Linked DNA regions of Lonchura striata. The main gene of each other region encodes a partner of the protein of the gene in region 2 in a complex. Links are inferred from orthologs where the notes say so. Each region holds a gene or a part of one and is shown on either strand. Other genes may lie near its edges.

What was found.
Region 1: the proteins of GNAI1 (region 2) and CX3C chemokine receptor 1 are in contact, whole or in part, in a cryo-EM structure (PDB 7XBW), measured with the Homo sapiens proteins. The link is inferred for Lonchura striata from reciprocal best matches to the Homo sapiens genes GNAI1 and CX3CR1. Residues at the interface, in NP_002060.4 of Homo sapiens: Glu28, Ala31, Arg32, Glu33, Val34, Asp193, Leu194, Phe336, Thr340, Asp341, Ile343, Ile344, Lys345, Asn347, Leu348, Lys349, Asp350, Cys351, Gly352, Leu353, Phe354; in NP_001164642.1 of Homo sapiens: Val52, Ala55, Leu56, Ser64, Thr66, Asp67, Leu70, Arg127, Ala130, Ile131, Ala134, Ala135, Met138, Asn139, Asn140, Arg141, Gln144, His145, Thr217, Leu218, Asn223, Lys226, Ala227, Lys228, Ala229, Ile230, Leu232, Tyr293, Gly297, Glu298.
Region 3: the proteins of GNAI1 (region 2) and HRH1 are in contact, whole or in part, in a cryo-EM structure (PDB 9LRD), measured with the Homo sapiens proteins. The link is inferred for Lonchura striata from reciprocal best matches to the Homo sapiens genes GNAI1 and HRH1. Residues at the interface, in NP_002060.4 of Homo sapiens: Arg32, Asp193, Leu194, Asp315, Phe336, Thr340, Asp341, Ile343, Ile344, Asn347, Leu348, Asp350, Cys351, Gly352, Leu353, Phe354; in NP_000852.1 of Homo sapiens: Arg125, Ser128, Val129, Pro132, Leu133, Leu136, Lys137, Thr140, Ile213, Val217, His220, Cys221, Arg409, Lys412, Ala413, Gln416, Leu417, Cys471, Asn472.
Region 4: the proteins of GNAI1 (region 2) and CMKLR1 are in contact, whole or in part, in a cryo-EM structure (PDB 8SG1), measured with the Homo sapiens proteins. The link is inferred for Lonchura striata from reciprocal best matches to the Homo sapiens genes GNAI1 and CMKLR1. Residues at the interface, in NP_002060.4 of Homo sapiens: Glu28, Ala31, Arg32, Val34, Lys192, Asp193, Leu194, Asp315, Phe336, Thr340, Asp341, Ile343, Ile344, Lys345, Asn347, Leu348, Lys349, Asp350, Cys351, Gly352, Leu353, Phe354; in NP_001135815.1 of Homo sapiens: Asn74, Phe78, Arg137, Ser140, Val141, Pro144, Val145, Ser147, Gln148, Asn149, His150, Arg151, Ser152, Val153, Ile243, Lys246, Leu247, Leu252, Ala253, Lys254, Lys257, Pro258, Ile261, Ile262, Met319, Gln321.

Annotation. Positions count from the first base shown.
Region 1 is NC_134603.1:112,954,718-112,962,249, forward strand, and holds the start of CX3C chemokine receptor 1, read left to right. Parts: upstream 1-4,318; 5' UTR 4,319-4,436; intron 4,437-5,659; 5' UTR 5,660-5,731; intron 5,732-7,532. UniProt on the Homo sapiens protein: Receptor for the C-X3-C chemokine fractalkine (CX3CL1) present on many early leukocyte cells; CX3CR1-CX3CL1 signaling exerts distinct functions in different tissue compartments, such as immune response, inflammation, cell adhesion and chemotaxis.
Region 2 is NC_134607.1:62,428,604-62,436,751, forward strand, and holds the start of GNAI1 (guanine nucleotide-binding protein G(i) subunit alpha-1), read left to right. Parts: upstream 1-5,115; 5' UTR 5,116-5,234; coding exon 5,235-5,352; intron 5,353-8,148. UniProt on the Homo sapiens protein: Guanine nucleotide-binding proteins (G proteins) function as transducers downstream of G protein-coupled receptors (GPCRs) in numerous signaling cascades.
Region 3 is NC_134614.1:5,355,910-5,363,325, reverse strand, and holds the start of HRH1 (histamine H1 receptor), read left to right. Parts: upstream 1-4,142; 5' UTR 4,143-4,217; intron 4,218-7,416. UniProt on the Homo sapiens protein: G-protein-coupled receptor for histamine, a biogenic amine that functions as an immune modulator and a neurotransmitter.
Region 4 is NC_134620.1:11,454,788-11,462,740, forward strand, and holds the start of CMKLR1 (chemerin-like receptor 1), read left to right. Parts: upstream 1-4,917; 5' UTR 4,918-5,153; intron 5,154-6,445; exon of another isoform or gene 6,446-6,666; intron 6,667-7,815; exon of another isoform or gene 7,816-7,953. UniProt on the Homo sapiens protein: Receptor for the chemoattractant adipokine chemerin/RARRES2 and for the omega-3 fatty acid derived molecule resolvin E1.

The DNA.
Region 1 (7,532 bases), on a different chromosome or scaffold from region 2:
TGCTGTTACTGTTGGAGCTGACCTCACAAGCAGGGCAGCCTCATGATGTACTGTGAGTGATCAGTGTAACTCAGGTACACCCCGAAACAGGCGGGTCCGAGCAGCTCACAGGCACGTCACCGGTCCCAGGGGAGGAGGACACCTGCAGGAGACCTGGCTGAGCCTTTGCCACATCTCCAGGGCAGGACAGCACCATATCTGTATGACAGCTGGAGCTCAGGAACACAGTGGGGCTACCAAGGCATGAGTGAGACTAAGCACTAAAGTGTTTCAATGTCCCTATCCCTTCTGTGACATTTCTAATGTGGGAATAAATGTTTCTCTTGATTTTTGATATCTGTTTGAGCCATGCTCCTTCTGCTTGTAGAAACTGTGCAAACCTTCAGCCTTCTATGGCTCTTCCCTTCAGCAGCCCTCAGGATGAAACATTTTCATCCCTAGACATAATGGCTCTCTTCCTCACTCTGTGTAATTTCTACATCCCCACTTTTTTAATGTAAAATAAATGCATCTCCCACCAGTGTCTGGAAAGACACCAAAGCTCAGTTGTCTTCTTGCATCTCTGCATAACAGTGACATGGAGGGATGAGGCTCTCTCTGCTGGCTTTTCTCTCAAAAGTGAGGCACAGAAATTATTTCTGTGATTTTTGTATGTGTCTGTGTCTGAGCAGCTGCTGCTCACATCTGCAGCAAAAGCTGCTGGATGGGCTCTGCTGCAGGACAGCATGGAAGGAACGGGATGCTGATGTGGCAGGGATGCACCTCCAGGAGCGCCTCTACCCAGACAGAAGAGATTAGTGTTTTGGAGAAATTAAGATAAAAAAATGTCCAGCAGGGGCCAGTGCAGTCGAGGCTGTGGTGTGTGTCACGCTGCTGAGCCACGTAGGGCAGCTCGGCGTCCCAGAGCTCCTGGGAGGATGGAGCGGGTACACCCAGGCCACTGCTGTTCCCCACTGGCCTGCAGAGGGGACTCTAGTGAAACTCCTGAGAACAAAGAGAGCCTCTTTTCATAGCAAATCACCTCCATCAGGCTTTCCTCCATGGCAGCAAAAGCTGAGTCTGCTGGGGAGAACAGCATTTTGACCCTTCAGGCTAGATGTTCCTTTACCAAGTGCTTTAGCCCACAAAGCTTGAACTTGCCAGTGATACTGTGCAAAACCCTGCCTCCCAAAGCTGCTCCTGCTCTTGCAGAGCATGAGGAGATGCCAGTGGTATTGAAGTACTTCTGGTCTCCCTAGATATGGAGAGACATGAGTTTTCAAATTTGGAAGGCCACTCAGAAAGAGATAGAATAAAAAGACCAGGGTGTTTGCCATTCTTTAGCCACAGTGTCATTCTTTACTCTTGATTCCTTCCTGTAAAATCATTGTAGGCCTCCCAGTTGAGAAAGCAGCACACTATACCTAGCCCTTCCCAGCAAAAGTCTCTCTGGTTACAAGGGATGCAATGTCTTTTTTGTTTCAGCTTGGAGAAACAAAAGATGTTTTCATCCATTGTGTATGGACCAAAATGAAAGTCCTTTCAGCAGCTTCCTCAGAATTTTTTATTCCTGAGCTGTCCTCAGTACCAGAGTGTGAAGAGGCTGAAGATGGAGAGCAGAGATATGGTTGATGTGGCAGTTGCCTTTCAGATGGTATTGGTTTCACATCTGTCTATCTTGCACTACAAGTGCACACCATGATAATGAGTAACACTCTTATCTAGGTTTTTCACTCACAGCAGAATACAGCAGAAAGCCTTTTGTGTCTCCCAGGGACATCTGCTAAGGATCTCTGTGAGTCAGCTTGAATTGGTTTATCTTTAATTGAAGTCTCCAGATAAAACCTCTGTGGGTAAAATTTGGCAAACTTAATTTCTTTCTGAGGGTAATAGCCTGCTATGTGCTTGGTTCCAGTTAAATTCTGGGCAGCACAAGAGGAAGAGGTTGATGACCACCTTCAGGAAAACCCTATTTCTAGGAGGTTCCTTCTACCTGGAGGTAAGAAATGCCTGGGGCCAGCCTCTCCTGTTTGACCCTCTTCTCAAGGATTTTGCCTGCAAAGAGCCACACTAGTGGCACTGTGCTGAGTATTGGTGACCCAGGAGCAGGTGCCACCACGGTGAGGGTGGCCGTGTCTGTCTGGGTTCTGCCCACATTTCACTGATCAGCAGCAAACCAGCTTGGCATGTGCAGGTCCCCAGTGGGGAAACTCCTACTGATCCATCTGTGGCTTCTTTACAAGGCTCAGGGGGGGAGGGAGGGACACAGCTCTTCATCATCCCCACGAGGACATGGGAGACAAATTTAGATTTGGGTGTCCTCCAAACAACAGCCCATCTACAGACAGGCCAGTGCTGCTCCGATAGTATCAGATTATCACTGGCATTGAGGAAGCTTTCATTCAGCTTTCTGAATCTCATGTTTTTCACACAATGAGAACATTTCCTTAGTACCATCTACCAGAAATTACCTTACTGCAAGCTAAAAGTTCATAATTTTGGCAGTCATAGATCCTACTTTACAGGCGTGGGGAGAAACCAGCCTTTTGATGCTGTCCTAAAAACAGTGCAGAGTGCTTTACATCTGTTTTTAAAGAATTAGTAGAATGGGTCTGCTGGCACTTGTCAGAGAAAAAGGTGAGTATTGCAGATTCACTGCTCTGGCCCTTTATAATTCCCTACCCTTTAAACTTTATTTCCAGCAGTGTATCTTTGCTGTCCCTGCCTAACACCTATACAGGAGTCAGTCCCCTGATTATTTCCATGGGTGCTTGCCCTGGCCCACCCGGCTGACATCACTTGCATAATTTGGCTGATGTTGGAGGCCCACGGTTTGACCTTAATTACATTGCTATGTAGCTGTTCCGGATGTAACATTTGATAGATAAAGCATAACACAGTAAAAAATCGCAAAATGTAACTGGCAGAAATACCAGAACTGAACTTACACAAAGATACTTGCCTGGTAACTTGCTAACCAATCCACAAGCAAGAGCTCAGGCAACCTGGAAGATACTCTCCACCCCAGAATCCCACCAAGGTCAGCCTGCCTGAAGACAGCACAACTCTGCCTCTGGGGAGAGGGCATTTTAATCTCCCTTGACTTTTGAGGCAGTACCTGGGCGTGTTTCCAGGACCACATTCCTTGTGTCCTGGAGGGCCTTGGTATTGGTAGAGCAGCCAAGTGGATGCAATGTCTGTTTCTCATACCACACCCCACTGCACAGCCTCCTGCCCTGCTCCACCCCAGAGGAACTGATTTTTGGGCACCAGTAGTGCCTGGCAATGTTCTTCACAGCATCCCAGCTGTGCTGCACTCACAGTGCGACCCTGAGCAGGATGCTCAGGTCAGGGGCCAAGAAGAGTCCTTGGTTTATGAACATCCCAATATTTTAAACCCTCTGACTCCACTGGGCTGCAGAGAGACATTATACTTAAAATCTTGTTTACAGGCAAAGAAGGAGCACAATGTATCATAGGTAGAGCCAAGAATGTATTGTGAGTGCAATGGCATTCTTGAGACTCCAATTGTTATCAGTTTAAATCTGCTGGTTGCAGAAAAGCAAGAACATTATTGCAACTTCAATTTTTTGCACACACATAGTTTCTATCCATTTTCCTGGTGTTATGCTCACACTTATCCCTGCTCCTTTGGGCCCTAAGGCTGGTGGTTGTGGTGAAGTGAGGTGTCAGAAAGAGCTGTCAGCACCTCCAGTCCTTCCCTGGGATGAGTGCGGTGTTCACCCTGATTTTCCTTCTGTCTTTTTCCAGGATCTGTTTTGGATTGTTTTTCTGTTTTCCAACATGCTTTTATATCTTATTCTCTCTTCACTGCTTTATACACAACCGACTATAGGCAGTGCCCCTTATGTATGTTAGACACTAATTTTGTTCTCTCTGTTACCACTAAACCTAGTTTTGCCATCTCCAGATCTGCATTTTTTTTACCTGACCATCAGTGATTTGTATAGAGCTGTGTGGCTCCACAGTGCCAGCCTCTGCCCCATTTTCTACACTCCCATACCTGTACTCCTCTGTGCTGCATCCTGCATTCCCACAGCCCAAGGCCCCTGCTATTGTACCAAACTCATATTTCTACACACTGTGTCTGAGTGGAAAATGTCTCATTCTGCATAGAAGGGGGGAAAATAAGGGGGTGACAGCTTTGACGTGCTGTCACAGCACCTCAGGCATTTCTGTCTCTGTGCAAATCCTGTCCTGTGTAAATACTTCTGTCCCTCTGAGTGGCTGCATCCTACTTGACAGTTTCACAAGAAGCCAGCAGGGCCCAAGCACAGCACATCAGTACTTTCTCAGCTCAGCCCCTAAGCTCAGCCCAGGAAGCTAACCATGCAATTTATGTAGGCATGAGCATTAGAGAAGAGGAAACATGCATTTAAATCCAAACAGGCTCAGCTTGAAGAAAACATTGGTTTCCAATGCAGCTATGAATTAAGGTAAGAGGCAATTGTATTTTCCCTATAATTTGACAGGGAAAAATGAGACAAAGGAAATTCTCCACTGCTTAGTGCTTGGAACCTAAATGATATTTAATTTGGGTAAAGATGATGTGGGTACCGTTTACAAACTGTGAAAGTAAAAAGGGAAGCACTTCTGTTAACGAAGTGAACCAGGGCAGATAAATTTTACTCAGTCACTAATTATTTGTGTCATCCTGTGGTACAATGAATATTTACCCTGGATAGAAATCCTCAAGGTTAGTAAATGCTGATATATGACTGGTGTGCAACAGTAACCTAGAAGAACAGACAAGAAGATACAGCCCTTCTACTTCATTAGAAGTTTTTCCTTTGATGCCTGCAGAGATTTCACAACTCACCAGCATTGCTTGCTTCTAGTTTTAGTCAATGAACCAACATCCAAAACATCACTGACACTGAAAGACAGCCAAAGCAGAAAATCTGATAGAGTCAATAGAAAGCGTCTGACACAGACAGACCCGCAAGAGAGCAATGGAAATTAAAGACATTTGAAAACACGTACCTTTCTGTATAATATACTTAATTTTTCTGTGACTCAGCTTTCCACAGGAAACATGTTACATGAACATGTCTGATAGTTTGTGTGAGACATTTGGGTAATGCCACAGTGGTGGCAACCTGCTAAGTATTTGTGTGATAAAAACACAGGTCCACAGCAGTGGTTTCCAAAATCTGGTCTGTTGGGGCAAGCCCTGTGTGCAGGCAGTGCAGCCAGAGGCAGGGAACTGGATGTCAGGATAATAGATGGCAACTGCAATGAATCAAAAGGGTTTGGGCAGTGCAGAAAAAGTGCAAAAGGGAGAAGAAAAGGCTAAAATTTGACAAAAGACAACGCATAATAAATTGAGAGTAAATCCCATTAAAAAAATTATATTTCAAGGAAGGAGCAGGCACTTAAATCTCATCCATACATAATCAAGAAGGTTTAATGTGCTCTGCTCTCTGAAATGATGGAGAAAGTTATTTAAAAGATCTCCCACTTCTGGAGAGCCTTCTCTGATTTCTCAGGGGTGCTGGGGCAATGTGAAATTATTAATCACAAAAAGGGGATGGAGGCAGGAAGCAAATAGATGCCACAATAAAGGTAGTGAGAGGATGGAGCCAACAGTAACCATAAACAAGTACAAACAGTGCTCATAGCTACAAATAATAATCTGATTTTGCTGTCCCTTCAACAGAAAATACAAAAGAAATTTGAATGCTGCTTCAGAAGAGAAAGCCTGGGAAAAAGAAATACCGAGGAAGAGCAGGTAAGAGAAAACACTGGCAAAATGGTCAGCTATACATTTGAAAATATAGGTACAGAGTGCCTGAGCAATTGTGCAAGCAGAAAGGGCAATTAGGGGAACTAACAAGCTAGGTGAAATACCTGTGAAATAAATTTTCTAAGAAAAACCCGATCCTGGCAGTCACCATCCAGTCACTATCGTCAAATGACAACCCCAAAGACCCAGTTCCCTGAGGGCAGCTCTTGGGAGGACACCTGCTCCCTCAGCTCTGCCACTGCTTCCCAGCAGCCAAGTTAAAGTGCTCGCCAGCCTCTGTGAGGACCAAAATAACTACTGCTCTACAACAATGCTCACCATTTACTTAATTTCCTATCCCATGGCTGATCCCTGGGAGCAGGGCACTGCTGGGAAACCATTTCAGGCTGCAGAAGCTCTGTCAAGGTCCCTTGCTTCTGGTCATAGGATCAAGACCACCCTGAGAGATAAGGATGCAAATTTCAGAACCATTTCAGTGATTTTTGAACCTCAACTTCAACATGCAAGGGAGACATGGGAGTATGAGTTGTACTGTCAGGTCATCTTTCATGGAGTCTTTTCTGAAACAGCTTCACGTGCTCAAGAGACTTGGTCATGCCCTGAAACATGAACCTATTCCCTGCTCCATGAAGTGTGTGGGCACCAAGGCTCCTGCATAGCCACCTTGTCAGTCTCAGAGGGGCTTTGTCTCCCCAGTGCTGAGGGAAGGAGTTGAAATCACTGCAAGCTTCAATTTTTTCTGTAAATACACCAGCCACAGGGGTGAGCTGCCAGGGGTCTGGCAGGACATAACTTGGCCCCAGCAAACCACACACTGCTGTGGTGCAGCTGTCCCTTCCCAGTGGCTCACAGCAAGTCTGCCTGGTGAGGCAAAAAAAAATCAGCAAGTGGGGGGATGTTGCTGAGGGCAGGATGTGCCCAGGACACCTGGGTTCAGTCCCCTGTGCCTGCTTTGTGATGGCAGCACAAACAACCTGAGTGGGGCCACCAGACTGGCCAGCACACTGAAGGAGCAAGGGCAAGATTTTGTTCAAAATAATACTTGTGTTGTTGCTCTGAAAGACAGGTGATGAAGCCCTTGACACTGGCAGAGACATCCAGAAGAAATTCCATGTTTTTGGCTTTTCTTAATAAATCATGAATATACCTAATTTTGATGTGATGGGCTAATATAAATCTTGTGTTCTGGTTACTTACTGTTACCTCCAGGTGTGCATGGAGCATCACTGAGGAAGCATTTTCCAAAACTATAATGCCCTAGGTAATGCTGAGAGAGACCCTTGGGATTTTGGACTCTGCATTATCTCATGCCTTCCATTATCAAAGTCTGATCTCTCCACATGAATTTTTCTACCAAAAACCATTGGTTTAAGTTTGTAGATTTACATGCCTCTCATTTTCAACTAGTGCTGTCTGCTTCTAATTTAATTTGTGATATTGGTGTAAAAACTGTAGAATTGGATCAGGGAAGTGGCATTTTTAAAATATCTTTGACCTAAATACCGTTGTAAAGGGATCCAAGGCCTCTGCAATAGTCAGTCATATTCTTATCAGCAGTGGTTTTATCAGCTTCTATTTCTGAGTAATTTACTTATGACACTTTAAGTGGCCTAATTCTTTGGAAGCCTCAACATAATGTTTCTGCACTTTCAACTTCACCTTAAATTGGAAAATTCAATAACAAAGCATCCCAGAGAACTACTTGCTTTTAAAAAGCTTATCCTTGAATTACTGGGGGAAGCCTCCATAAATTAAATCACCCAGAGTGAAAAGCAATTATTAGGTT
Region 2 (8,148 bases):
GTATCCACTACCCATTAATTAATCACAGTAACGTGAGAGAAGAATCAGCGTTGTGTATGCATACAGTGTAATCCAGAGGTTCTTACAGGTGGACTGCAAGCACTGTGCCAGAACACTCAGCAGTGGGGCAGAGGGGCCTTTGACATTCAATTCACATGGAGGGCTTCTATTTCCTCTGTTTAATTATTTTTTTCATCTGTTTAAGTTTCAAATGGTGTAATACAGCTGTTGTTTTAGATTCAGAAAGCCAGCTGTGTCCTGGGAGATGTCTGGAGCACCATGGGCAGCAGGCCAGGCGGGGATTCTGCCCCACTGCAAGCACTGCATCCCAGTCTGGGGTCCCCAGCACAGGGAGACCAATGGACCTCCTGGATCAGTTGCAGAGGAGGAATACCAAGTTGACTGGATGGATGGAGCACTGCTCCTGTGAGGAAATGCTGAGAGAACTGGATTTGTTCAGCCTGGAAAAGAGAAGGCTCTGGGGTGAGCTCATTGTGGCCTTTCAGCAGCTGAAGGGAGCCTACAAAGAAGACAGAGAGGGAGGGACTTTCCTCAAGAGCATGTAGTGACAGGACAAGGGTGAATGGATTCCAGCTGACAGAGAGCAGGTTTAGATTAAATATGAGAAAGAAATTCTTTACTGTGAGAGCAGTGAAACACTGGAACAACATGCCCAGGGAAGGTGTGAATGTCCCATCCCTGGAAGTGCTCCAGGTCAGGCTGGATGGGGCTTTGAGCAGCCTGGTCTAGTGGAAGGTGTCCCTGCTCATGGCAGAAGGGTTGGAATAATCAGTATGGAAGAAGATACCTTGCATCATACTTTGGGAACATTATATTTTCTTAGCACAAAAGGAAATTAAATAACTTAAATAAAAAATATTGCAGTTCAGGTATTGAGATATAATTATGCATACAGTTACATGCTTTATTCAGAAAGAATTTTGCTTTGCTCTATTTACTTTTTCAAAGGCAGAAATTAAAATTCTTACCCACTTTCCTCTGTTTCTTTTGTTAACAACTATATTCAATTTCTCATATATGTTTTTGTGTACTGTGTCTGGTTAAAGACGAGCAAATAAGATGACTAAATTAGATAATTTAAATTAAAATCTGAAAACGAGCAAAATAGAAGGCTTAAGGCTGATCATCATCTCCATAAAACACTGTGCATTCCATACCAAACACAAGAAATTTATCTATTAAGTCCATGCAGCAGCAGCAGCTAAAGATAATCTTACAGAAAAATGAGCCCAGGAGCTGGTGAATGCAGACTCAAAAGGAGGTCATATCAAACAACAGCTATTTGTTGTTAAACCAAGCAAAACAACAAAATCTCTTGGAATAATCGCCTCTCAGGAATGAGGCCATGAAACACACAGCTCCTGAGCAATATCCCAATTTGTCAGATGAAGGTAGAAGCTGTGCAGTTCTAACTACAAGGATGAAATACTCTGTCTCACATAACCATACTGCTGTGAGGCAATGCTAATCAATGAGTTAGAGCTTACACATTCCCTATGTTTTGGAATAAAACACAGGGATCATGGGTGTACTGTCCAAATATAGACTAGATTTATCTACTTAACTATAGCTTCTTTCACTGTCTAGTAGACTATTTTATCTTAGAAGGAAATCCTTTCAGACATCAGGTACTGATCTGTGGCTGTTCCAGGTAGTGATTCAGGGCAGCACTGCTCCACAGCACCATGTAAGACATTGTTATAAAGCACTGCACTGACAACCTTTGTTCTGAATAGACAGAGTTTCTTGGCCACAACAGAGCTAGCACAATCATTCCTCAGCCCTCTTGGGCACTGTAAAAAGAGTTTATGCTATTCCATGATCCTAAGAACTGCTATGTGTGTGAAGCAACTAGAATACAATAATTTATCCCCTGCACCATTGCTGCATAAGAAGTAAACAACTGACATTGCTGAACTGTTGAAAAGCTCTCTTATTATTTCAAAAAAGACTGCATAAGGAAATATTGGTGAACCTGGGCCATGTAGTATTTCCACTTCTGAAAAATTAAAAATCTATACCAATTGGCTTCAAATTTCAAAGGAATGCATGTTAGAATGCTCAGGAGTTGCACTGTTTTTTTTGTAATATTGTCCATGTACAATCAGGTAAAATTTATCCACAGGGTTGTAATAGGAAAAGGTAGTAGAAAAGTCCTAATTATGAAATAAAGTGGGTTTGGGTTAAATAGAACTAAAAAGAGAAGTCAACCTTTATTTTTAAGACTAAGTTATATGTGCAGAAGAGGACATACCATACAATCGTGTTTTCCAGATACAGGGTGATAAAAAGAACAGGAACTTGGGGCTGTTTCATGTTTTTTGCCTATGAATGTAGTGACAGTGTTAAAGGGGAAAAAGGACAGAGAGAACACCCTAAGAAATACTCCTGGTGAAAAGTATAGAAATGTGTGCTCTATGCACATGATTAATTGAAACAAAATCCATGTGAAGTTGAGGTGTCCTACTTGTAGTATCTCCATTTCTGTAACATCTGCCGCTCTCATTATCACATTATTTCCACCTACCATAATCTCTGTTTACTACTTTCTTATCCCTTAATCTGTACTTTCACTTATAAATATCCTAACCACGTGTTATCTCAGAAATCATTCTTTATCCTTGATTTCCAAATCAGAAAAATATCCCTAAGCTTATTAATTTTTATCTCCACTAACTCTGTTCTTTCCTGAGCAGCAGTTGACATTGCTCCCTCTATCACAGGAGAGGTCAGGAACCCTAAAACAAGACTAGGTTTCCATAAGTGACATGAATTGTTTTGTAAAAGCTTTTATCCCACACAGTACCAGTGTGGAAGTCTGCCCAAGAGAACACAAAATGGACTAAGCACCTCAACAACTCAGGAGGGCAGAGAAGCAACAAACACCTCTCAGGTGCCCTGGCATTCTCCATAGCAGTGGGACAATGAAGATGACCAAATAAAATGTCTCTGAGGTCTAATAAAATCTTGAGAACTGATGTTCTTTAAGAAAGAATTCTGTAACATCCTTTACTAGGACTGAAAGTATGCCTACCAATCAGAAGATGAGAAAAATATTTAAGTTATCGTTTGAGTGTTATCTACTTCATTTTTTACATCATTACTTATGGTTTATTCATTGTCAGCACTCAAAGACCCCTGCAAAGAAGAAAATCTGACACATCCAACAAAAATAGAACGTTTGCTACTACAACTTTTCCATTGAGTTTTACAGGAAAAAAGCTTTTTAATTTGCTAAGTATAGTAATAGCTGAGTCTGACTTAAAGTTTTTGCACTCTAATGCTAAAACACCTTCTGTGCTGTAAAATGCTGCTCTTTTTGAGCTCATTCTGGGGGCAGAAGTTCTTGAGATTCTATAGAAATAAAAAATCCTGGACTCACTGGAATGATGAATCTTAATTTGAACAGATTTACCTTGTCAGCTTTTGCGCCTTATGTTTGGACCAAAGTTTATCCTGAGATTCACAAAGTTTTATCGGTTGTGCAGAGTTCTATCCACGAATTTCAGTGAAATCACTGCTTCACCCTATCAGTGCTCCCCAGATGGGGTTGTGGGTCCCAGTCGCACCGCAGCTCAGCTGGATTATCCCAAGGTCCCTTCGACCCCATTTGTTCTGTGATCCTATTATCGGGTAACGGGATCTTTCTTTTGCAATCCAAACAGCGCAACATGTGTGTGGTGGGGAAAGACTCATAAGCATTGCATAGTTTCCTTTGGATTTTTATAATAAAGAGCAAAACAAGTCATAAAACAACCTCTGGCAGGTCACAGATGTGCAGACAGCCCCGTGCCTGGGCTCTGAGCTAGGACAGAGAATTACAGAGTGGGTCAGGCTGGAGGGGGAATCTGGGGGGATCTGTTCCAACCTCCCTGCTCTAGCAGGGTCATCCCAGAGCACATGGCCCGGGATGGCATCCAAATGGTTCTGGAGTATCTCCAGTGGGGAAGGCTCTCTGGGCAACCCGTTCCAGTGCCCGGTCACTGCACAGTGAAGCTCTCTCTCATGTTCAGGTAGAACTATGTCTGCACCAATTTCCCTATTATCCCTCGTCCTCCTGCTTGGTACCACCGGGAACAGCCCGGCTCCATCCTCCTGGCACCCTCTCCCCCATTTAAATACTCATATACATGGATGAAGAAAGGTCCATCAGGAAAGAGAGCGGGATGAGCAGCTTTGAGCCGTGAGGTGGGATAGCTCGTTTGGCTTTGGGTTTGTGGGGTAAAGCTGACGGATGAGTCCAGGTAAGAGCCCGCCCGAGAGCCGACTGCCAGCAGCCAGCAACGGCGGGGCTGCACCCCGAGGTGCTTCCCTGCATCCCGGCAGCACAAACAGCAGGACGGGGGGACTGAGCAGGACGGGGGGACGGAGCGGGACAAGGGGACAGAGCAGGACAAGGGGACGGAGCGGGACAAGGGGACGGAGCGGGACAAGGGGACGGAGCGGGACAAGGGGACGGAGCGGGACAAGGGGACGAGGAGCTCGACCCCCTCCCCCCCCGGGGTACTCCATTGGTACAGCTCAGCCCGGCTCTCCCCCGCCCCGCCGAGCAATGGAACCTCCCGCGCGCGAGCAGTTTAAATTCGAGCCCCTCCCCAGCAACTGCCTGGGGCACGCGCGCGGGGGCGTCACGGGCCGCGCTGCTCTCAGCCCCGGTCCGCCCCCGCTCCCGTTCCGCTCCCGCTGCGTCTCCGCTTCCAGCCCCGCTCCCGCAGCGCTCCCCCCCATTCCGCCCCCCGCCCCAAAACGCCTCGCCGCCGCCGTGCGCACGCGCGGCCGCGCCCGCCGCTCTTCCCGCCGTGCACGCGCGCCCCTCCCCTCTCCCCTCCCGGCGTGGGCGGCGCGCGCGCGGCCGCGCGCCTCCGGCGGGGCGGGGGCGGTGCCGCGCGCGCAGCAGCCTCAGGGCCGGCGGCGGGAGCGGCGGCCCCGGTGCGCGGCCTCGCTCCGCCCGTCCGCAGCGCCGCTGCCCCCGCTCCGCGCTCCCCCGGCCCGGCCTCCCCGCGCCCCTCCCGCTCGCCGCCTCCCCTCTCGGCCCTGAGCCGAGCCCGGCGCGCGGTGCCCGCGACGCCGCCGCGCCCCAGGTGAGGGAGCGGGGGAGCAGAGAGCGAGCGGGGAGCGCTCGGTCCCACTCCCTCCTCAGCGCCGCCCCGCCGCCGAGCCCCGCCGCTCCCTGCCTCGCTTCTCCCGGCGGAGCCGCACAGCCCCGCGCCAAGATGGGCTGCACGCTGAGCGCCGAGGACAAGGCGGCGGTGGAGAGGAGCAAGATGATCGACAGGAACCTGCGGGAGGACGGCGAGAAGGCGGCCAGGGAGGTCAAGCTGCTCCTCTTAGGTAAGGGATGCCGTGAGGGGAGGCTCCTCTTGAGGCGGCCGCTGCCCGGAGCTCCCTCGCCTGCCGAGGGTACAGTTTCATAGGAAGCCTCCGGGCTGGGCGGGGGGCCGTGCTGCCCTCGGACCCCGGGGTGCGTGCTGGGGGCCCCTCAGAGGTTTTGGGGCAGCAGCGTCCTGGAGCAGGTGGAGCCTCGGCTGCTGGAAGGATTAGAGGCAGCGCCCGGGGAAGCGGCGCGGCGTGGGCTGCCCGGGCCCTGGCTTTCATAGGAACGGGATAACGCATGAAACTTCTGACCTGCAGTCTCTGTTCCTCTGATGAAAGGAAGGAAACCTTACGTTGGGGGGATATTTGCTCTTCATGTTTTCTTGTAGACCCGAACAACTCCTGAACTGTTGCTGCAGCGTAAAGTATAAAAAAGTGTCAAAAGAAGGCAAAGCACCATTTAACTTTTGGGTGGGGTTTTTTTTTCGGTTTTTTTTTTTTTTTTTTTTTTTTTTTTTTTTTTTTTTTTTTTTTTGGAACAGTTTCTGGGATCTTACAACGGGAAATACCAGCTTGATGGAGCTACTTACGTGTGTAATATGACTTACTGTCATTGTGCGTTCTTCTTCTTGAAACTTGCCTTTTTTGTGTATTTTAAGATATTCTTGTGTGTAAAGAAAAGGTTATTTTTAAAATTACAAGAAAATAGGAAGTGAGAATTTTAAATAGAGTACATTTGTTGAGGATTAAAACTACTGGAGGTTGGAGACAACTGAATGCTGCAAGATTTGCATTGAATTAATGTTGTAGGAAGTTTCGCAGTATGTTCTGTATAGCTAAACCAGACTGGATCTAATAGCCAGTTAAAATAGCTGCTGAGTTGCAGCTTCTCTCTCAGAGGTGCCGTTTTAGGCAAACTTTTTAAATGATGCACAATATCTCACTCTCCTTGACATTGATTTTGCTCTCCCGTAGTGCTCTATTGACTACAAACGTAGTAGACCTCTTAACTTTGTGTTGCTAAATTCTAAGATGGCTCCAGAAAGGGACAAAAAATTTATTGTAGATGAAGAAATGAAACAAATCCAGAATGGGAAAAACAAAGATCCTAAAATAACTTTCTAGATTTAAAATTTAACTTGTGAGGTAAGCCAGAAACAAAAGCTCGAATTGTTCTCCAGGAATTGGAAGTGGAAGCCTATTGGTGGAAACCTAAATCTGCTCAGTTTTGGGCTGGTACTGTGCCTAGTCCTGAACATCGTTGGAATCCTCAGATTATTTGTGGAAAGCTTTTCCTGTATGTGATAATAGCAATGCTGCAGATGTTGCTGCCTTTTTAAAAAGTGGCAAAGTAAAACTTTGTGTCATCTGGCAAGGCATTTGAAATTAATTTTCAATTTTTTGCTGTTCTGTGTGGAACTTGTAGTGCCTGTAGTTTGGTACTGGTTTTCCTATTTTTATCATAATTCTTGGCTACGGATGACATCTGTTTAAAGATGCTTTAAACTTAAGAATGGATTTTGTCACTATTTTAATGCTCTTACGTACTAAGTCCTATGTTATGAGCTCAAATTTTATAAATTCTCTGTTTCTGATGCTGGAAAGCCTTTCTGCTGGGCTCTCAGGAGAGCTAAGAGCATGGAACAAATGGTCAAATTGCATGTAGGTTCTCAGGGTGCCCTGAGCAGCAGTTCTCTTGGGTTAGCATTTCCTTCTCCCCTGCTAAAAAGAGGTGTGAAGGCTGGCAGCCTGGCTTCTCCTGGGACCAGTGCTGGGATTATTGTTTTAACAATGATTGCCTAAATGTTTAGTGAACTCTGGATGAGCCTTTGTGCATGCACCCATGGATATTTATTTCACATGTTTTGGAATGAAAGTTTTTTGCCTTCCTCTTCCTTGCAAGTCTGTCAGGTGTCTTGAATGTGATGTGAATGCTTTATCTGGTGGCAAAAGTATTTAAAGTTATTTCCACTAGAGTCACTTTCTTCTCACCACTCACTTTCCCAATTGCTTGTTCAGCCCACATGTCATAGTTTATCATCCACTTGGTTGTACTCCTACATCTATTTATGGGTTTGTTCTGCTAAAAAGGTACTGAAATAAAAGGAAAAGTAAAAATTGTGGTCTGCTGCCAGGCAAATGCAATGAGCGAGTGGCAGTTGAAACAACCTTATTTATGTAAAAAAAGGTCATGTAACTGTATACCTATTATTATTATTATAGTTGACCCATTAAATTGGATTTATTCCAGCATATATAAAAAATCTATTTTTGCCTGGTGATTAGAGAAGCCTACTGAAGTTTGAGCTAGAATGCTCAATTGAGGGAAGATGTGTTCGTAAAATTAATCGATTTCTAGACTGGAAACTTAATTTACTCCATCATATGCTTTTCTAAGTTTTTTTTTCTAAAACAGGAAATTGTAGGGATTCAGTTGAGAGAGATGTGACATTGCTGTACCTGAACCCTCACTGTGAACAAAATCGCTGATACCTGTTAAGTTTCTATTTTGTTGTCCTGTCTCTAGGAATAAGCAGATATATTTAATCTACCCAAAATACTATTGAACTGGATTGTCTGAGTTTTTTGTCATATATGTAAATTGGTTCATCACTTCCTAAAATTTTGAATGCAGGTATTAGGAATAAAAATACTGGATTCTAAACATTATTCATGTATAGCTATTTTAGCCTTGTGATTCTGTGCACTTCAATGTGCTATCCCCAGGAGCAGCAGAGCCTTTCCTGGAAAATTTCTGAGAACCATCATTCTTAGAAGTAAGCTGAATTTGACCTTGTAGTTGGTAAGCCAGAT
Region 3 (7,416 bases), on a different chromosome or scaffold from region 2:
TATTTGTTATTTGTTATTTGTTATTTGTTATTTGTTATTTATACAAATCTGCAAATTTAATCAAAAAATCTACTTTAATAATTTCTTGCAGTACTCTGAAGTTTAATATGCAGAATTAAAAACAAGAATAGTGGGCATGCAGACACAGTGAACATTTAAAAAAACCCTGGCAAACACTCAAAATTGTACTATTATTAGCCTGCTGCTCAGTTTTCCCAAATAAAAAGTAATGATGGTGTAAATCAAGAGGGCTCCATGTCCCCGAGCATAATCCATTTGCTTTGTTTGAAATTCCATCAGAGCTTGTTTGAAATAGGATTTCTTCAGAATCCTCCAGCAAAAGTAGCCTGGGTTGGAAGTTTTTAAGAGGAAGCTTGAAAAGCCTGAGAAATTTGTAAAAGACTGCTGAATTTGTACAAATATTTTGTGAAACTCTTATCTATAAGCCTCTGTGAGCTTGTTCACATGTGATGACAACTTTCGTATTGCCTGACAATATAAATTACAATTTCAAAATGAACACAGATCTCGGGGCATGAGACCATAGAGGTTCATCTCCCGGGCTCCTTCCTGTGACAGCTCCCAGGGGTGTGACCAGCAGGGTGTCCTGGGGACAGGGAGGCCAGTGGCATCCTGGGGACATCAGGAAAAGCACTCCCAGCAGGTCAGGGAGGGATCCTGCCCCTCTGCCCAGCCCTGGGGCACATCTGGAGTGATCCTGTCCCTTTGCCCAGCCCTGGGGGCACATCTGGAGTGACCCTGCCCCTCTGCCCAGCCTGTGAGGCACATCAGGAACGATCCTGTCCCTCTGCCCTGGGGCACACCTGGAACTATCCTGCCCCTCTGCCCAGCCCTGAGCAGAGACCAGAGAGGCTGTGGGGTCTCTTCCCTGGGGATATTCCAGAGCTATGTGCACACAATCCCATCCACGTGCCCTAGGATGGCCCTGCTGGAGCAGGGAGGTGGCACCAGCTGAGGCCCTGTGGTCACTTCCAGCCTGAGCCATGCTGGAACTCTGTGCTTTACTTTGGTCCTTTCTATATAAATGCAAATTCCAGTTCTATGTTCAGCAGGACAAAGCCCCTGGCATTCTAAAGGACGTTAAATCCAGTTTGGAACAAACACGTTTGCTGGGAGGCAGGAACATCTCACAGCAGCACTTCAGCAGGGGGTTAAGGCCTCCATCTCTGGTGGTGCTTGTAGGAAGCCTCGTCTGCATGGAAGAAGTCCAAATGAGAATAAACACAGGGAGCAGTTGCAAATCAGTGTTATATAAAAGTTATAAACAGCCCTGATTTACAGTGTGCTACCTGAAAAGTGTTTGCACTCAGCAAAGAGGTCAAACAGCAAAGGAGACTGAGCAGGAAACTGCTGCAGAAACATCCTGGGCTGGGCAGTGGGATGGGAGCACACAACTTGTTCTTCAATCCTGTGTACAGGCACCAGCAAGAAAAGACTTTCATCTCTTGCACAACCATTTTCCAGGGCAAAACCTCTCAGCACAGAATCCCAGCATGGCTCAGGCTGGAAGTGAGCACAGGACTCAGCTGGTGCCACCTCCCTGCTCCAGCAGGGCCATCCCAGGGCACAGGGACAGGGTTGTGGGCACACAGCTCTGGAGCATCCCCAGGGAGGGACACCCCACACCCTCACTGAGCAGTCTGGTCAGTGCTTGGTCACTGTCCAGGGGAAAATTGTGCCTCCTGTCCAGTGCATCCCTTCCTGCCTGCTGCCTCTTCTGCTTCTCAGCAGCACTGAGCAGAGCCTGCTCCCTGCTCTCACACCCAGAGACAGGACCTAAGCTGGGTCCCAAAACCCAAATTGGGTTTATCATAATTGCAGTGGGACAGGGAGCAATTCAAGGGCAAAAAGACTGCCTTAGTAACAGCAAAAAAGGAGCTAATGGATGTATCATTTTGCTGAGAGTTGCATCTTTTGGCAATGAATGTTATCCTCTTAGACTGAGGGCAGGTACATGGGGATTTCCTGTATTTTCCTGTTTGCTCATGGTGGGGAGGAATTGTGCAAAGTTCACAATACCTCTTCACCAGTTGCTCAAACAATGAAGTTACCAAGTGCCCAACAATGCTGTTTGCAAAAAACATCGTTGCACAATTTCTTTGTCACCTACATAACAAAATTCCGCGTTTGACTCCACAGAGAGCTTTGTGCAATACATTTCTAAACATTTTTTTTAAATGAGCATGATCTTAAAGAAAGGAATGAATATGAGTAAGATAGTTGCAAAAAAATCTCCCAAATCTTATGCATATCTTTAACACAGAGAAGATGTACTGGACCTATGTGAATCACAAAAACATCAGTTTAGCTGAATATACAATAATGTGTTACACATGTGGCATTTTTCTAGGTCTTGAAGTGTGGCAGCACATTTCTCTCCCTCTCAGGATTTTTCATAGAGGTGCACAGAGAGAAATGAAAGAGAAAACTATTTCTATTTCTGATCTTTGTTTTTCCCATGTGGAAAGTGTTTGGAGAATTGTTTACCTGCGGTGAGCGCTTGGTTGGATTCTGGTGAGGATTGATTGATCCTGATGGCCAATCCAATCCAATCCAATCCAATCCATCTGTGTCTGGACTCGAGAGAGAGAGTCAGACGTTGTGTTAGTTAGAGTCAGAGAAAGTAGTATGTAGTTTTAGTATCCTCCTTTTGTATAGCATATTAATGCATTTTAGCATAGTGATAATACAGAAATCATTCAGGCTTCTGAATTGAGTCAGACATCATCATTTCATCCCATTGGGTTCGCCTGCATTTACAATATTGAAGTAGTTGTGTAAGAAAGCTCCACTACAAGAAACTCCAGGTACTTGAGCAGAGAAGGGTGACAGCGCTGTGGCTGATGAGGGCTGGCACGGTCCCAGGCCGGGACGTGCTCTCGGATCCTCCGCAGACTCTGGGGTCAGCTCGGGTGAGCCCCCACGTCACGTCCCCGCTGCAGCCAGCTCGCATTTCACATTTCACATTTCACATTTCACGTTTCCGCAGGTTTGCGGCCACACCCGGGGCTCTCCGGCGGGCGGGCAGAGCGGAGCCGCGGGCAGCGCAGCGCCAGAGCCGGGCTCTTCCCCGGAGAGAGCGGAGCGACCCTCGGCAGCGTCCCGGAGCGCCGCGGCGGGACCGGCCGGCATCCCACCGCTTCCCACCGCTTCCCGAAGCATCCCACCGCTTCCCACCGCATCCCACCGCTTCCCACCGCTTCCCGAAGCATCCCACCGCACCCACCGCACCCACCGCTTCCCGAAGCATCCCACCGCACCCACCGCACCCACCGCTTCCCGAAGCATCCCACCGCACCCACCGCTTCCCACCGCTTCCCACCGCTTCCCACCGCTTCCCGAAGCATCCCACCGCATCCCACCGCATCCCACCGCATCCCACCGCATCCCACCGCATCCCACCGCATCCCACCGCATCCCACCGCATCCCACCGCTTCCCACCGCTTCCCGAAGCATCCCACCGCATCCCACCGCATCCCACCGCATCCCACCGCTTCCCGAAGCATCCCACCGCATCCCACCGCACCCACCGCATCCCAAAGCATCCCACCGCATCCCACTGCTTCCCAAAGCATCCCGCCGCTTCCCACCGCATCCCACCGCATCCCACCGCTTCCCACCGCATCCCACCGCATCCCACCGCATCCCACCGCATCCCACCGCTTCCCACCGCATCCCACCGCATCCCACCGCATCCCACCGCATTCCACCGCTTCCCAAAGCATCCCACCGCATCCCACCGCACCCACCGCATCCCACCGCATCCCAAAGCATCCCACCGCATCCCACTGCTTCCCAAAGCATCCACCGCCTGCCACGCCTCCCATAGCATCCCACTCCTTCACATAGCATCCCGCCCCTTCCCAAAGCATCCCGCCGCTTCCCGTAGCACCCCACCGCTTTCTAAAGCATCCCAGCGCTTCCCAGAGCATCCCAGAGCATCCACCGCCTGCCACACCTCCCATATCATCCCACCGCTTCCCAAAACATCCCATCCCTTCCCACCACCTGCCACGCCTCCCCCCCCCCCCCGCATTCTATCACTTCTCTTCGCCTCCTATCGCTTCCCATCGCATCCCATCTCCTCCGCCTCCACCGCGCCCCGGCCCAGCCCAGCCCCGGGCAGGCGGAGCGGCTCCGCCCGGCCCCGCTGCCCGAGCTGCCGCGGCCGCTGCCCGCTCTCCTCCGGCCTTTGGTGAGCGACCAGCGGCGGGGAAAGGCAGGAGGGAGCTGGGGCGAGGGGCAGCGGCAGGGATTGGAGGGACTGGAGGGATCGGGGGGATCGGAGTGACCGGAGGGATCGGAGGGGTCGGAGGGACGGGAGGGACCGGAGGGACGGGAGGGATGGGAGGGATGGGAGGGATGGGAGGGATGGGAGGCATCGGAGGCATCGGAGGCTGGGGGAGCGCGGGCGGCTCCTCGGAACTCGCTTGTCCCCCCCGAGCGCAGCGAGAGGAGCAGGGAAGGAAAGCAAACAGGAGCAGCACAGCTCACTAGCAAACACATTCTGCTTTTGAGAACTCTCCCTCGGCACAAACTGGGGAGCCCTTGGCAGATTTTGGCTGCTCCTGACCCGGCGCATCCCAGCCCAGAGCAGCAGAGTGGAGCAAAGAGTCTCCCGTAGGGGCAAACCGAGCTGAAGGAAAATCCTAAAAGTGCAGCAATAGCCTGTAGGAAGCTCAGCCAGCTTTTCCCCCGGAGGACATTTGTCCAAGCTGCAGATCCAGCAGCTCCAAAGGTCCCCAGGCTCCCCCCTGCCCCCGGGCAGAGAGGAGTCGCTGCGGGTCACGCAGCAAAGACCAGAGCAGGGAGGGGATGCTCACATGGAAATGGGAAGGAAGGGAGGGGAAACAGATGGATAAAGCCCAGATTCCCCACTGTACTTAACGGCCACACTTGAATTGAGATGGTTTTGAGGAGTTCCTGTCTGCACAGAAAATATTTATGCTCTTCTTTCAAGCATCTTTCTGGTAAGGGAAGGGAAGGGTACCTGGCAGGGAAAAACAGGCAGGGAGGGGTGGGTTCCTTGTTTTTAGGGAGAACAGTGGAAGAAAGGATGAGAAATAACTTAAACCCTCAACCCCTTCTGAAAACAATGGTGCTCTTGCGAGGAAAAATTGTAAATGCATTATTTTCATACATATCTTTCCTCATATACCAGTCCAGCACATCCTGAGGGGGCTGAACCTAAAGCAGGGACATAACCTGCCCTAAAACTTACCCCATTCTTGATGTGGCCACCCCAGGCTTTCCTTTACAGACAAGAATGATGGAGAGGAATGGGAATTCTTGGATAAGATGTTTTTAAAGTTTTTACTTGCACCACACCAGGCTCTCTCACTATTAAGAAACCCTGTGTCCTTTTACCATCTGCTTAATCCCACAAAAAACATTAAAGCTGCCTGAAGAAAAAAAAAAAAAAAAAAACAATCAAGGAGCTTGTTTAAGTCAGGTGTGTATTTCTAGAAAGGAAAATTTTCATATTTACAATGAGTTATTGCTAAAATATGAAGGAACTCATCAAATTACTATGGTAAATTCACCAGATGTTTGAAGAGACTGAATATACAGGTTCCACTCCTCACACCCACTAGGATTTTTAAATCTATCCATTTTGTGATGGATTTCACACAGTTCCAAAGCACCAAAAGTTCACTTGAGCTGAATTAAAGTAAATCCCTAAAGACTTTTCATTGTGATTCAACTTCACCACTGAAAGAACTCCCAGCTCTTATTCACATACCTTATTTTTTACTTTTGTGAGTAGTGATCTCCCAAGCCACTTGGAAAGAACCAGATCTTTATGTTTGAATGACAGGGTGAGTTACATTTTTAAAAGTTAATTGTATTTCTGATGCAGAGGGATAAAGTCACCAATTTTACAGTTGTCAGGGGTTGGAGTCAGTAGTAGGACAAGGTGGAGTCCAAAAAAAAATCAAGGTTTTTTTTGCTATCCTTGTAGGAAAGATGTCCTGTTAGACTGAGTTAGAAAAATGGGTTCCAAACCCAGAACAGAAAGGCACCACTGCAGCTGCTCAGCTTTTCCCCACATTCCCTGGAAATTCCCCTTTGTTTATAAGGGATTTTACAGCTCAAGGGTTTATTTCCTGCATCACAGCACAAAGGACTTTTCTTTCATTACAGAGTAATTTCACAGGTCTGGCATCTATAGCAAACTCTCTTTTTACACACAGGTAATAGAGCAAAGAATATAAGACAGCACAGCAGTACTTAAAGAAAATTATATTTAAATACTCTTTTGCTAAGAGATTACATTGATGACAAATTAGTTGATATTGATAATGTTTAGACAAGCTGGGAAAATTAATACCATATCTGGAAGCTCTGGGATTCTTGTCAAGATGAGTTTTTCCTCCAACCTCTTGGAAAAAATAATCCAATAATCCATATTTGGGAAATGCTATCACAAGAACAAGACTGTATCTTGTCATGGAAAAAATGACATTTCGAACAGCGTAAATTAGAAAACGGAGCTGCTAAAAGAAGAGTTGCATGGAAGTCTGAGCTTATATTTGGAAGGCCAAATCATTCTTTGGAATGCATCCATCTTCTGTTAACTGTTTTTAATATTCATGGAATATAGGCCAAGTGTTAAAGAGAGTTGTTTAAAAAATGCCAGCCAGTGTCAAAAAAGTCTGTATCTATCTCCTGATAATTTCAGGTTAAGGCTGGAACTTAAACATAATAAATTTACTTAGGAAAAAAAGGAAGTAAATACAGTGGTGTGTAGAAAATTGTTTAAATAAGTAGCTGGTTATGTTGCTTGAAGGATACTGAAGCTACACTTCCAAACTGTCCTGGCTGGGCTGAGACATTGTCATTTGAGTGGGAACAACAGGCAGGTTAACCAAGTTTTTACATTTACTTTTTATAAAAAATATTCCTTGAATATTGCCAGCCATTGGCTAGGGACTGTTCCCTTACAGAGAGATAAATGAGTTTTTGAGAAGGAAATTAATCAAACTTCTAGCATGTTAGTACTTTCAAAAACTCAAGAATAATTTAGGGGAAAAAAATCACTAGAAATAAATAAGTTTCTTAAGTACAACAGAGTGAGTAAAGACCATCTGAATTAAAATCTCACTTTCTGCTTGAATTTAGTCTGATGAGCAAGAATTTTGCTCTTTGGAGCTGTAATTTCTTAAAAATCTATCAGCAAGAGACATGCCAGTTTCTGGAAACTTTCTCCCACTCAGTCAGGGCTTAATAGATTGTACCTGCACTAATGAGGCACCGAGGCATCCACTTAGCATCTCCCAATAGATTCTTGCTCCTTGGAAATGTAATACAATAACAAATCATGATTGCTGAGCCTCCCTGTAGAAAAAGCGCTTCCCAAACAGCAAAAATTAAAGAGGCATTTTATGGTGAGG
Region 4 (7,953 bases), on a different chromosome or scaffold from region 2:
CCTGTTTTTCCCCCAATAAGTTTTAAGGGAGTGTGTGTGAATTATGTGAAGTCCTGCCTGAATTTTCAATTTATCCCTATTGATTTCTAAGGTATTCCCAATGTCTGAATCCTTCTGGGAGCTCCATTCTCCATCAGCTGGGAGCAGTTCTGGGGATTTTCTGCGTCCACTCCAGGCCATGGATATCAGAGATTCCCTCTGCACTTTTTATGGAATAAAAATCAGGAATTCATTCGTGTTAGTGAATCTGGCTTCCATCAACAGCCCCCTCTGGATGGATCCCTACATTTCTGGATCTGTTTAACTAATTCTGAGACAACAGCTGGATTTTGGGACTGGGCTCCTGTGTGGGAAAGGCTTGTATCCAGCACGGGGCTGAGCTCTGGATTATTGGGATCAATGATCCAGATCCATTCAGGGAAGATGCTGTGGGCAACCCCAATGAGGGTCCAGGTACCCCCACATCTCCCTGGCACCACCAAGCAACTCCCTCATTTCAGAAACAATCCCAGCCTGGCAAAGGCTCAGGAATAAAACGTATTTTGCTGTTATTTTTACAAATTCCAGGGCAATTGGAGCCTAGGGAACCTGCACCAAGGCCACCCCCCCACAGCCAAGAAAACCCCAAAAAAGGCATGGATTGCTCAGAGCTGGCAGAAATTTGAACCTTCCCACCCGGAGCTGGGCAGTTCCTGGGCCCATCCCAGTGATGGGAAGCAGGATGGGGCCATTGGAAAAGTCAGCTTCAAAAATACATGTCCCAGCAAGGCTCTGCTCCATGGAATGCTGAGTTCCCAGATGTTGATTGCAAGGAAAACTGGGTTTATTAATTAAAAAAACCATAAATGAGGCAGGTTTCCTTATGGATGTTTGGGAATTTGAAGGAATCTATTGTTATTAAGACAAATCCAGCTGGTGCCTTAAAGGATTGGGAGTTTCCTGAGGGGTTTTATCAGGCAGATCCCACTGATTTTATTGCTGGGAGATTTCAGGAATGCTCCCCTCTATCCACGTTTGGTGTCTTCACTCGGCACACCAGCAGCAGGAAAAGCACATCCAGAGGACTTTAGGATGATGCTGAAGGAGTTCAGGGTGAAAGATGAGCCTGAATTTGGCTCCAGCAGTTCCCAGCACAAGGAATTGAATCCTGTCAGCATCTCCCATTTTCCAGTGGGATGTGCAGCATCCAGACCTGGAGCCCTTTAGGCATTTTAATAGAATCTCTTATTTTTTAAATGGAATTTCTTATTCCAAGGCCAGGTTGGATGGGACTTGGAGCAGCCTGGTCTGTGGAAGATGTCCCTGTCCGTGGCAGGTAATGGAATGGGATGAGTTTAAGGTTTTTCCAAACCCAGCCACTCCAGGATTCGATGCCACCTCTGCTCGTAAATCCCTGGGCAGGTGACATCCTGTCTGTCACCTGCTCAGGGGCTCCAAGGCAACAACAGAGTGTCCATGCCTGGCAATTCCTCATCCCTGCTCCAGCAGGAATTGGAAATCATGGAGAAATCTCCTGAAGTGGCACTTCCATCACTCCTGGGGAGCAGGATGGGGATGGGAGGGGGTGGCTGATGCCACAGATGAGGAATCCATGGAACAGGGCCCAGCCGTGTCCCGGGAATGTTCCCATCAATCCTCCTCTGCCAAGGGTGGGCTTTGGGAGCCGAGACCTCGGAATTGTCCCCTGGCACAGCTCTGAGGGAAGCACGTGGAAAATTGGGGGGAATGATCCGAGACTGGAGGCAAACAGAGGCTCTGCGAGGGTATCTGGGGGTGTGGAGATCCCTGAGCTGCCCATCCCAGGGGTGGGATCAGGGATATGGTGCCAGCCCCGGGAGCACAGCGGGGTTTGGTCCCAGCCCCGCCGTGTTTCTGGGGCTATTTATAAGCTCGAGTTGCACAAGGTTGGGACTGGGGTTTTTGGTGTTGTTTTGTTTTTTTTTGCCGCGGTTGTATCAAATCAGCGAAAAAAGGGAACGGGAGCCGTCTCTTGGACATCCTGTCTGTGGCTTCTTTCTTTGGGCAGGGAGTTCGCGCTTGGATCGGGAGGCAGTGACGGGATGCGGAGGTCGGAGCGCGGCGGGTGTGGAGCCAGGGATGAGATGAGCTCCCTGCGGGAAAGGCAGGGCAGGCTTGTCCCTGGGCATAAACCCAGCTCTAAAGCCCGGCACTGGGAGCTGGGATACGCAGCGGGATCCTCCCGTCTTGTCCTCGTAGCTGAGCCCAGCTCCTTTCCCAGCCATTTATCCCCACGGCTCTGCCCGGGGCGAGGGAAAGTGCTGCTGGGTGCCGGAGAAAGCTCCCCTGGAGAGGGAAAACTTCCTCCAGCTTCTTCCCCACTGACTGCGACATCTGTTTCGGGATGAATCAGGCGGGTTCCCAGCGCCTGTGTGGGAGGGAAGAAGGGCGAGAGCTGGAGGGGTCGGACCTGCCGGGCTCCGGCCGTGTATCCCGGTCCCATCCGCGCATCCCGGCTCCATCCGCGTATCCCGGCTCCACCCGCGCATCGCATTCCATCCGCACAATCCGGCTCCACCCGCACATCCCGACCCCATCCGCGCATCCCGACCCCATCCGCTCATCCCGGTCCCACCCGCGCATCCCGACCCCATCCGCGCATCCCGGCTCGGCAGGGAGCTGCTCCAGGGCGTTTAATTAGCCCGAATCAATGTAGAGCTTTAATTGCTTTGCTCGGTGTGGGTGGCACTCGGCGCTTGCCAAGGAAGGACATGACAGCTGCCAAAGGCTGCGCGGCCGCGGCGCCTGGAATTGCCGCTCCCGGCGCTGCTCCCGTGCGGATCCTGCCCCAGCGGCAGCCCCGGGAGCGGGAGCGGGGATTTCTCCTTCCCCGCAGGGCTTTGCTGAGCGCCCTGGAGGGAAAAAAACCCAACCCGCAAACGCTCGGGATGGGAAATCCTATCCCGAGTCAGCACCTTTCACCCTGCTAAACGCAGGGGTCAGGGTGAGAGCAGCATCCTGCATCCTGCCGGGCCTGGGCAGTGCCGGGTGCCTGGGGGGTTGGTTTTGGGGGGCTGCAGAGCTCGGCCTTGCTGGGATCACCGGGATTGAGCCAGGTCATCCCCCGGAGCTGCCGGGATTTCGGTCATTGCTCGATGTCCCGGGGTCAGGCCTTGGCAAGGCCACGTGCAGGAGCATCCATAGCTGAGCATTCCCAGCCCCAGCAGGCCCTGGGGTGGTTTTGGGAAGTCCAAAAACTCCCACCAGGTCCCGGCTGGTGCCACCCAGAGCTGCCTGGGCTGAGCATCTCTTGGTGGCACCGTTTAACTCCAGACACACAAAAGGAAATCCCATCAGTTCGCAATGGATTTTCTCCCTTGCTGGCTGGATTCAGGATGTTTTTTGCCCCTGTCTTTACAGCTGAGGATAATTAATTAGCCTTAATTAGTATCCTGTGGTAGATGAACTTCCTTTCTGCTGGGCAGAGGGTTGGAATGTCTGGTGGCAAACTCAGGGCGGTGATTTTGGGGTGTCCCAGTGGGGGAAAATCCTGCTCCTTTTCCAGGCTGGAGGAGGGTGAGGGGGCACCAGTGCCAAAAGTTCTTGTGTTTCCTTGTGCTGCCTTTGCTCCCAAGCCCTGCACTGGCTCTTATCCCGCTGGGATGGGTGCTGGGACTGGGATGGGTGCTGGGACTGGGATGGATGCTGGGATTGGGATGGGTGCTGGGATTGGGATGGGTGCTGGGATTGGGATGGGTGCTGGGACTGGGATGGGTGCTGGGATTGGGATGGGTGCTGGGATTGGGATGGGTGCTGGGACTGGGATGGATGCTGGGATTGGGATGGATGCTGGGACTGGGATGGATGCTGGGACTGGGATGGATGCTGGGATTGGGATGGATGCTGGGACTGGGATGGATGCTGGGACTGGGATGGGTGCTGGGACTGGGATGGATGCTGGGACTGGGATGGGTGCTGGGACTGGGATGGGTGCCGGGATTGGGATGGATTCTGGGACTGGGATGGGTGCTGGGACTGGGATGGGTGCCGGGATTGGGATGGATGCTGGGACTGGGATGGATGCTGGGACTGGGATGGATGCTGGGACTGGGATGGATGCTGGGACTGGGATGGGTGCTGGGACTGGGATGGGTGCTGGGACTGGCATGGGTGCTGGGACTGGGATGGGTGCTGGGACTGGCATGGGTGCTGGGACTGGGATGGATGCTGGGACTGGCATGGGTGCTGGGACTAGTGTGGTTGAGGCTTGGGAGCGCGGGAGCTGCGTGGGGAGGGAAGGAATTTTCCCGGTGCCACATCCAGCCTGGGGTTATCCAAACCTCCTGCTCTGTGTGGGTGGAGGCTGCGCTGCTCAGTGCTCCCAGTCTGGGGGGCTGCCCCAAAATCCTCTTGTTTGTCCCCCTGAATCCCATCCCTGCATCCAGCCTTTCCCATCCCTCCTCCCCAGGGGACTCTGGAGCTTCTCCCAGCCCCTCCGTGGCCCCCGAAGAACTTTTCTTGCAGGTGTTAAAGGGTGACAGAGCTGCCACCACTGAGCCTCTGCGGGCTGGGGGGGCTGCCTGGAAGCATCTGCAGCATCCTGGTGGTAATGAAATCCATCGGGAAAAGCAGCCCCTGAGCAGCAGGAACGGCGTTTGGGAGCCAGATTTGCCTGAAGGGAAGTGACTCAACGTCTTGGAAGGATTTGGGGGCGGTGTGGGGAGCAGAGGACAGCGGCTGCCCCAGGCTGGGGACAGCACCGCGGCGGGGGCTGGCAGCCACCTGCCTCCCCTTGGGCTCCGGGCTGGAGCAGCATCCCCGCGGAGCGCTCCGGGCTCCGTTATCCCTCCGTGGGACGGTGCGCTCCGGCCCGGGGGGCGGCACAGGAAAGGAGGCCCCTCGGGAAGCGTTTGTTGCTTCCTCACGCTGGCTTGTGATCCAGGCCAGCGTTCCCAGCTCCCGGCGTCACACCCTCTCCCAGCTGTTGCTCGCCGAGCATCGCGCTGCCAAGAAAACCTTGGTGATGGACGCAACTCCCTCCCCGCTGCCTTAAAAGCGGCGGGGAGCGGCACCGTGCCTGTGTGTGTCCCGGCACGCCGGGATCCGCCTGGGAATGGGATCCTGCCGGCACCCCGGGCACCCCGAGCCCGTCCCGCCCGGCACGGAGCAGCGGGACAGCGTTGGCACCGTGCGAGGTACGGACAGGTCACTCGGTGGGGGGACACTGCGGGAGCAGATGGCGCAGGACGAGGTGGCAGAGCGATGGGGCAGATCCAGGCCGTGCCACTCCCCATCCGTTCTTCTCATGGGTTTTATCATTTTGGGCGGCGTTTCCCACTCTCCTGGCACACCGCTCCTCTGCACCCCGCTGGGGATGTGCCACCAGTGTGGAATATCGCGGGGCTCCTGGCACACAGGGACACCGGGGAGCCGGTCACGAGTCCCCAGCCTGGCTCCACAGGGGATTGGCACATCCCTGCCCACTTCTCCACGGCTTTCTGGGGCTTCTCCTTTCCCCGCAGCAGCCCCAGGAACCGGCACATCAGCATTTTTCTAGCCCTGATTCAGCTCAGGGACACAGAGTTGCGACACAGAGTTGTGCAAAGGCGGCAGCGCCTCCGATTCCTCTTTTTCGGCTCTCACGGGAGCTCCTCCACGTAGGACGGGGTCAATGTCCCCACGTCACGGGACGTGGTGGCCTTTAGCTCCCTCCCACCTGCCACCACTCCCTGCGGGCATCACCCCCTGTCCCCTGGTCACACCTGGGTGGGGCTTTTCCAGCTCTGAGGGAACTGGGATTTATTCCCTGTGCGTGGCAGAAGCCAAGAGCTGGATAACTCATGGATCTCGTTGAGGGAGAGCAGGTGGGAGCTCTGGTGGAAGGTGATGCTCTTTCACAGCACGGTGCAGCTTTTGCTCCAGCTGTTTTGCATCTCCCTCTGGCTCAGATGTCCTGGCTCAGGGCAGGGATTTGGTCCTGCACCGTGGATGCCACTGGTGATTTGCAGCTCCTGGCTGGCACAGGGTTGAGGTCAGGGTGGTGAGGGACAGCCCTTGGCTGGGGACGCTCTCTTTGGGGGTACAAACCAGGCCAGGCTGATGTCCTCACATGGGATGAACAGCTGGGAATGGACAGGACTCGTGAGCAGCTTCTCTTCTTCCCTGCACCCCAGGAATGGCTTTGGGTTCCCCGTCTCCTGCGGGTGTGAGCCAGGAGCATCCCAGCATGGATTTGGGGTGCCTGGGGAGCAGGGATGAAAGGCAGCCGAGGGGACCCTTTGGCTGTGCTCACAATGAGGGATACCCAAACCTTTCCCAAAGGCTCCCAGGAGATTCCCAAGCCACTGTGGGCAGCACAGGAGCCGTGGTGGACGGGACATGTCACCGCTGCCACATCCCCTTCTGTGTCCGGCTAAACTCCGCAGATTCAACATCCTCCCCCAGAGCTTCCCCCTTCCCCTTCCAGCTCTGCTGAGGCCAGCAGCTGGTTTGTTCCACGGGCTGCCTTTATTTTCCTCATCCTCCCATCCCATGTGCTTCTCCTCGGGATGAGACAGCTCGGCAATATCCGTGTCAGCTCCAGCTGGATGCCAAAGCCACAAGCCCGGGGTCATTCCCATGCCAGCCCTAACGGGGCTGGAGGAGAAGCAGAGATGTCTAATCCAGCTTCTGAATGCTGAAAATTCCTTGGGGATTTATCCAGCTCAGGTAAACACCCCTGGATTTACATATATTCGTTAATTTATATGTTTTGTAGGGATTTGGGAGGAAGGGTTTGCTGGAGATTTGCAACCACTTGAGTTTTTTTTTGCTCCCTTGTTGTTCTACAGTGGGTTTGGGATCTCTGGGATCCCCACTGTCCTTCACCACAAAGCCCCTAATTTTCCCTACAACCCCAGCCTCTTTTGGAGCTGGGCTTTGCAGCCTGGGGGGTGGCAAAACAGCACGGAAGGGAGAGGAGCTGGCAGAGAATTTGGGGGGGTTGATGTCCTGACAGTGTGGCAGTGTCCCCTTGCTGGGGACAGGGAGAACAGGGTGGCTTTTCTTTGCCGTGCTGATCAGCATTCAGCTGGGGACACGGAGCACAGCTGGGAGGATGCTCCCACGGATCCGGGGTGACTGAGCCTGCTGTCCCCTGCTGTGCCACATCCCCTGCGGGGTCACGTCCCCCCCGCAGCCCTATTTCCGTTTGCTTGGGTTTCTGTCCCTTTGTGCGCCCCAAATGCAGAGTGACGTCCCCAAGGTTTTGTCCCCTGACAAAGCCCAAGCCGTGGTGAGGGACGGCATCACTGCACTGCTGGGGTGTAGCAGGGAGGATGCTCTGGAAAAGGGAGGTTTTTTTTGTCTTTTTATTGCCTGAGAAGTGCCAGGAGAAAACCTTGGATTATTAGAAGAGAGCAGAGGAGATGAAAGAACTTTTATTATCTTGGAAGTTGAGTCATTTTAAGAAGCTCAGAAGTACAGACTGCCCTTTTTCAAGGAAATCTTTGCCTGTGTAGGTGAAAACACCCGAATTTTCCCCCTTTAATCCTCGAACCTTTCCAAGAGCAGAATGGATGGAGCAAAAGGCCGGGATTTTACGAACAGCGTGGCTCTTTCAACACTTGGTGCTAGGGAAGGCCGGGTTCCTCTGCTGGAGTTTCACCCTGGGAGGGGTCTTTCCTAACCCAAATTTTGAGATTAAACCCCTTTTCCTGGCAGGACTGGAGCGCTTTCCCCCATGGGGGTGACCCCACACTGTGGCCGGGAGGATCCGTGGGATCCATCCCATCCTATCCCGACCTGACCCGCTCAGCCCGGCCGGCTCTGCCCAGATAAACACTGACTCATGTTTTTCTGTCCCACCCTGGGCACAGCAGCTTTTTTAAGGCTGCCTTTTCCAGCTATTCCCTTTTTCCTGCGCCGTTCACACGGATGGGGTGCAGGGAGAGGCTGGGGATGCCGGAGGCTGCCGGGTGTGGGGGTCCCGGATCCGTGATGCAGAACTGGGATGTG